2 linked regions of the Xenopus tropicalis genome follow. The protein of the gene in region 2 interacts with the protein of the main gene of each other region in a biochemical or structural test. Links are inferred from orthologs where the notes say so. Each region holds a gene or a part of one and is shown on either strand. Other genes may lie near its edges.

Region 1 (3,397 bases), on a different chromosome or scaffold from region 2:
CTAAGCTCACATTTCAAGTGTTTGAGTAAATAGCAAGGGAAACTTACAATATGCCCACCTCTCCTTCCCTTTTCGGCAATGGCAAGTCTACTTGCCGTTACCAATTTAACTTGTATATCCTTTATGTTTATTTTGTCAGTTTTCACCTCAGAATAAAGGACTTCTTAAATAAAAAAAAAAAAAAAGTATGCGTGATTTTCTCATGTCACATCTTTCTCCATTTGTACTTTCTCTCTGAAGGAAACTTGCGGTTTTTGACCAGTGGAGCTCTATTGCTGTTCATATAGCTATGGATAACACAGTTGTGATGGATGAGATACGTAAGTGAATGGAAAGAGGTAAAATAGCCATTTCTTTTACCCCTGTGCCAGAATTATTGTTATTCCAAGCCATTTGTGCCAGAACCCTCATTAAAAAGTGACTTTATTGCAAACATGAGTGTTTTTCTGCAGCACATGAGCTTTTAGGGCTGTTTTGTTACTGCCTAAAGAGAAAAGTGCACCAAGTGGCACAACTAAAGAGGAAACAGACCCCGGCCCCCAAACAATACACCACTGGCTTCACTTTTAGTACCTTGGTACTATGTATTGGGATTTCAATACCTTTTCATTTGTATTTATTTGTGTTAATAAATCAAGGGTTGGTATATTTGTGACTTTGGTGTTTTTAAAAGGGACCTGTCACCAAAATATAAAAAGTTTCAAATAAAACTTGAAACCCAAATAGTTATTGGCTGTCAGCTGTATATTGTGTTTTTCTGTCTCAATGCCACTGGCTAGCAATCTATTTACATGCTGCATCTGACATTGCCACCTCCCTCATTTTGACCACTGCTGTTAGCGGTTGACAAAATGCTCCAGCCCACTTGGCACTTCTCTGAATTTTGTTAAATGGAGAGCTTGAATTTTTAAAATTTCCTATGTGTGACTGGCCTTATTGTGTGGGTTTTGCCTTTTGTGTATGTCTTGCTTAGTGTCACACAAGGCTGTTTCTGCCCCTGGGTGTGAAATTGTGAATTTTAATGCTTTTTAACAGATGCTGGAGAGATCTGCACTTTATCTCAAAACAGTGAAGGGTTGTTTATGTGCTCTTCCCTGACAGGCCGCTATACGAGCTGTATGAATCATGGAAGAATATTTTCTTTTCTTTAGGCAGATTATGCAGAGCTGGAACCAATGAGAGCTCCGAGGCTGGGGCCCTTTGTAATGGCTATACAGGCGTCTCTGACCCCAGCTGCTCCCTATGGAAGCCTCTTGTGCTACTCATACCTCTTCGGCTGGGACTAAGTGATATCAATGAAGCCTATATTGAAACACTAAAGGTACATGTTTAAAGGTTTTCTTAAAAACTTCATTATAGCAAACAAGTCCGTAAGATCTCAACTCAGGGCTACCTTGCAAACATAGGTGCTAAATTGCACCAGTGCCACAGATCAGATGTTTGCTTTCATATTTCTAACTTGGTGTACATGTCCCAGAGCCAATTGCTGACTGGATGTGATTGGCAATTGCACTTGTGCAGTTTTACACTTTAACATGATTTTTATGGTATACTTTTTATTTCTAAATGACACTGTTTACCCTGGGAAATGAAGAATATGGCTAGCCCCATGTGACATTTCAAAATTAAATATAGAAAAAATTTGTTTGTGTTTTTGAAAAATGTATTTCAATTCAGGATTCTGTTGGGGAAGCTCTATTAACTGCTGCAATTTGAAAAAAAACATATTTTCCCATGGCAGTATTCCTTTAAATCAGCCCCAGGGGGTGAACTATGACTTGAGAAATGTCAAATGTAACACTAGCCTAAGATTTATGTATTTTTTGTTTTAAAGTTATTTGTACATTTCTCTTGAGCTTAGGTTTCTTTAGAATGTTCCTATTTGGTAGCCAGTCAGAGAATTAAAAACGTACACTTTCTTATGCAGTAATGTGTATTCTCAGTATAGGGAGAAATGCATCTATTTATGAATATTTTCCTTGGGAAAAAAATGTCTTCTAATTGATGTCTTTGCCCACCTCACAGCACTGCTTTATGGTACCTCAGTCCCTGGGGGTTATTGGTGGCCGACCCAACAGTGCTCATTACTTCATAGGATATGTAGGTAAGGGTGCTCTGCCACTAACAGCAACACACATTTATGAAAACTCCACCACATTATCAGTACTATTAATACTGTAATTGGCAGAAAGATATGAATGAATATTCATATCCAAAAGGTGCACCCCAACTGTTTGCTTGCTTGAAGGGGCAGTAGATATACAAAATGTAGCTCCAAGGATTTTAGTTTGACTTTTGCTATACTATGGTCAGGAATCTTTAGATGTACATTTGATAGGCTCTTGAACACCATCTTTGAAAAGTTGTCAAACCCTTTGATCTTTTTACGTTGACATACCAACGTACCTAGCCAGGGGTGCCTGCTAACTAAATACATTTCAGCCCTGATATATTTAGGCCTTTCAGAGAAAATAATCTTTCAACTTCTTAGTTATTGAAAAAGGTAAAGGGCTTTTCTCATCTGAGCATCATAGATACACTTTTGCATGGCCCAGAGAGAATCCTTAACTAAAAGCTATTTTACTGCTAACAGAGAGAACAACAGGGTAGTAGCTATTATGAAAACTAATATATAATTGTGGTGAAGTGTAACAAGCTACAGTAGGACACAGCCATGCAGTGGAAAAGGAAGGAGCAGACAGCTTTATACAGTTGTTTGTATCACTCTAAACAGAAACTTGAAATATACTAACCCTCTAACATATCCCTGATGTATTAGTGTGCTTAATTTGGGGAATCTCTGGTATCCATTTTATGCTGTTTTTGACATTTTTCTTAGACATAAAAGTGGAATTTTGGTTAAGTCTTGGGAATTTTGTCATTCGAAATAGGGCCACAAGTTTATTACACTCACTGCAATGTTTAGCTGTCTCTTTTAGGGGATGAGCTGATCTACCTGGACCCTCACACTACACAGCTTGCGGTGGAGCCCAGTGACTGCTGTTTTGTAGAAGACGAAAGTTTCCACTGTCAGCACCCTCCATGTCGAATGCATGTATCCGAGATTGACCCTTCTATCGCTGTGGTGAGTACCAGGAGACCAAGAGCAGGTGTTAGCTCCAGCAAATGCAATTTCATAGAAGTGATTTCAATTTATGAAGCCTTCACACAGTATGTATATGTCTGCGAAATACACAATTCTGCTAGAAAACAGTAGCATGTTAGAAGCCAGTATCCATCTCTAACATTTAAGCTTTAAATTAATTTATTTCTTCCCAGGGCTTTTTCTGTAGATCTCAAGAAGACTTTGAGGATTGGTGCCAACAAATTAAAAAGGTTGGTGCAATTTGAGAAAATATTAACCCACATTTAATTCCTAGGATTATTGTTTTGTTTT
Region 2 (3,656 bases):
GGGAGAGAGAGAGACTGGGGGTATAACATGGGGAGAGAGAGAGAGACTGGGGGTATAACATGAGGAGAGAGAGAGACTGGGGGTATAACATGGGGAGAGAGAGAGAGACTGGGGTATAACATGGGGAGGACTGGGGTATAACATGGGGAGAGAGAGAGACTGGGGTATAACATGGGGAGAGAGAGAGACTGGGTATAACATGGGGAGAGAGAGAGACTGGGGTTTAACATGGAGAGAGAGAGAGACTGGGGGTATAACATGGGGAGAGAGAGAGACTGGGGGTATAACATGGGGAGAGAGAGAGACTGGGGGTATAACATGGGGAGAGAGAGAGACTGGGGGTATAACATGGGAGAGAGAGAGACTGGGGGTATAACATGGGAGAGAGAGAGACTGGGGTATAACATGGGGAGAGAGAGAGACTGGGGGTATAACATGGGGAGAGAGAGAGACTGGGGGTATAACATGGGGAGAGAGAGAGACTGGGGGTAAACATGGGAGAGAGAGAGACTGGGGGTATAACATGGGGAGAGAGAGACTGGGGGTTTAACATGGGAGAGAGAGAGACTGGGGTATAACATGGGAGAGAGAGAGACTGGGGGTATAACATGGGGAGAGACTGGGGGTATAACATGGGAGAGACTGGGGGTATAACATGGGGAGAGAGAGACTGGGGGTATAACATGGGAGAGACTGGGGGTATAACATGGGGAGGGAGAGAGAGACTGGGGGTATAACATGGGGAGAGAGAGAGACTGGGGGTATAACATGGGGAGAGAGAGACTGGGGGTTTAACATGGGGAGAGAGAGAGACTGGGGTATAACATGGGAGAGACTGGGGTATAACATGGGGAGAGAGGACTGGGGTATAACATGGGGAGAGACTGGGGGTATAACATGGAGAGAGAGAGACTGGGGGTATAACAGGGAGAGACTGGGGTATAACATGGGGAGAGAGAGAGACTGGGGTATAACATGGGGAGAGAGAGACTGGGGGTTTAACATGGGGAGAGAGAGACTGGGGTATAACATGGGGAGAGAGAGACTGGGGGTATAACATGGGGAGAGAGAGACTGGGGTATAACATGGGGAGAGACTGGGGGTATAACATGGGGAGAGAGAGAGAGACTGGGGTATAACATGGGAGAGAGAGAGACTGGGGTATAACATGGGGAGAGACTGGGGGTATAACATGGGGAGAGGGAGAGACTGGGGTATAACATGGGGAGAGGGAGAGACTGGGCGTATAACATGGGGAGAGGGAGAGACTGGGGGTATAACATGGGGAGAGGGAGAGACTGGGGTATAACATGGGGAGAGGGAGAGACTGGGGGTATAACATGGGGAGAGGGAGAGACTGGGGGTATAACATGGGGAGAGGGAGAGACTGGGGGTATAACATGGGAGAGGGAGAGACTGGGGGTATAACATGGGGAGAGGGAGAGACTGGGGGTATAAACATGGGAGAGGGAGAGACTGGGGTATAACATGGGAGAGACTGGGGGTATAACATGGGGAGAGGAGAGACTGGGGTATAACATGGGGAGAGGGAGAGACTGGGGGTATAACATGGGAGAGAGGAGAGACTGGGGGTATAACATGGGGAGAGAGAGAGACTGGGGGTATAACATGGGGAGAGAGAGAGACTGGGGTATAACATGGGGAGAGAGAAGACTGGGGTATAACATGGGAGAGAGAGAGACTGGGGTATAACATGGGGAGAGAGAGAGACTGGGGGTATAACATGGGGAGAGAGAGAGACTGGGGGTATAACATGGAGAGAGAGAGAGACTGGGGGTATAACATGGGGAGAGAGAGAGACTGGGGTAAATGAGAACATTAGAATATTCATGGCGCAGCACAAGCTGTAGCCAATCAGAGGATGTAGAGCATTAGGCGGCGCTAATATCCACGCGTCTCATTGGCAGGTTATTGTGGAAAAGGCGCCCAAAGCGCGAATAGGAGATCTGGACAAGAAGAAATACCTGGTTCCCTCTGACCTCACAGGTAGGTGTGGCCTCCTCCCCTCCCCCTGTAGGGCAGTATCTGGGGTATGTGGGTAGGGGTATTATGGGTTCCAGTAGGGCAGTACCTGGGGTATGTGGGTAGGGGTATTATGGGTTCCAGTAGGGCAGTACCTGGGGTATGTGGGTAGGGGTATTATGGGTTCCAGTAGGGCAGTACCTGGGGTATGTGGGTAGGGGTGTTATGGGTTCCAGTAGGGCAGTACCTGGGGTATGTGGGTAGGGGTATTATGGGTTCCAGTAGGGGCAGTACCTGGGGTATGTAGGTAGGGGTATTATGGGTTCCAGTAGGCAGTACCTGGGGTATGTTGGGTAGGGTATTATGGGTTCCAGTAGGGCAGTACCTGGGTATGTGGGTAGGGGTACTAAGTGTGTGGGGTGCCAGTAGGGGCAGTACCTGGGGTATGTGGGTAGGGGTACTAAGGTGTGTGGGGTGCCAGTATGGCAGTACCTGGGGTATGTGGGTAGGAGGTACTAAGCGTGTGTGGGTGCCAGTAGGGCAGTACCTGGGGTATGTGGGTAGGGGTACTAAGGTGGGTGCCAGTAGGGCAGTACCTGGGGTATGTGGGTAGGGGTATTATGGGTTCCAGTAGGGCAGTACTTGGGGTATGTGGGTAGGGGTATTATGGGTTCCAGTAGGGCAGTACCTTGGGTATGTGGGTAGGGGTACTAAGGTGTGTGGGTGCCAGTAGGGCAGTACCTGGGGTATGTGGGTAGGGGTACTAAGGTGTGTGGGTGCCAGTAGGGCAGTACCTGGGGTATGTGGATAGGGGTACTAAGGTGTGTGTGGGTGCCAGTAGGGCAGTATCTGGGGTATGTGGGTAGGGGTATTATGGGTTCCAGTAGGGCAGTACCTGGGGTATGTGGGTAGGGGTACTAAGGTGTGTGGGTGCCAGTAGGGCAGTACCTGGGGTATGTGGGTAGGGGTACTAAGGTGTGTGTGGGGTGCCAGTAGGGCAGTACCTGGGGTATGTGGGGTAGGGGTATTATGGGTTCCAGTATGGCAGTACCTGGGGTATGTGGGTAGGGGTACTAAGGTGTGTGGGTGCCAGTAGGGCAGTACCTGGGGTATGTGGGTAGGGGTACTAAGGTGTGTGGGGCACTGACTGTCTCTGGTTTCCCCCCAGTGGGGCAGTTTTACTTCCTCATTAGAAAGAGAATTCACCTTCGTGCTGAGGACGCTCTCTTCTTCTTTGTCAATAATGTGATACCCCCAACCAGCGCCACCATGGGGCAATTGTACCAAGTAAGTGCTAGGGGCAGTCTCCTTTCTTGGGTTTTGGGGTGGAGAGGGTAGAATGAGGGGTAGGTAAGTACAAGGGGTGATAGGAGAGGGTAGAATGAGGGGTAGGTAAGTACAAGGGGTGATAGGAGAGGGTAGAATGAGGGGTAGGTAAGTACAAGGGGTGATAGGAGAGGGTAGAATGAGGGGTAGGTAAGTACAAGGGGTGATAGGAGAGGGTAGAATGAGGGGTAGGTGAGGAGCTGGGCTTGGGGGTAGGTGAGGGGCAGGAACTGGGTTGGGGGAAACCGAGTTGCAGGAGGTGGGGGGAGCATAGTCGGGGTGAGTAGGAGGGGCAGGAGCTGGGGGTGAGTATGAGGGACTGGGGGTGAATATGAGGGGCAGGAGCT

Evidence for each region.
Region 1: the proteins of gabarap (region 2) and atg4b form a complex in vitro, tested with the Homo sapiens proteins (3 studies listed by BioGRID and IntAct, with this or other methods). The link is inferred for Xenopus tropicalis from reciprocal best matches to the Homo sapiens genes GABARAP and ATG4B.

Annotation. Positions count from the first base shown.
Region 1 is NC_030681.2:125,732,742-125,736,138, reverse strand, and holds part of atg4b (cysteine protease ATG4B), read left to right. Parts: intron 1-240; coding exon 241-320; intron 321-1,151; coding exon 1,152-1,321; intron 1,322-2,025; coding exon 2,026-2,104; intron 2,105-2,939; coding exon 2,940-3,085; intron 3,086-3,279; coding exon 3,280-3,336; intron 3,337-3,397. UniProt on the Homo sapiens protein: Cysteine protease that plays a key role in autophagy by mediating both proteolytic activation and delipidation of ATG8 family proteins. Required for canonical autophagy (macroautophagy), non-canonical autophagy as well as for mitophagy.
Region 2 is NC_030679.2:153,328,807-153,332,462, reverse strand, and holds part of gabarap (GABA(A) receptor-associated protein like 1), read left to right. Parts: intron 1-1,928; coding exon 1,929-2,007; intron 2,008-3,151; coding exon 3,152-3,270; intron 3,271-3,656. UniProt on the Homo sapiens protein: Ubiquitin-like modifier that plays a role in intracellular transport of GABA(A) receptors and its interaction with the cytoskeleton.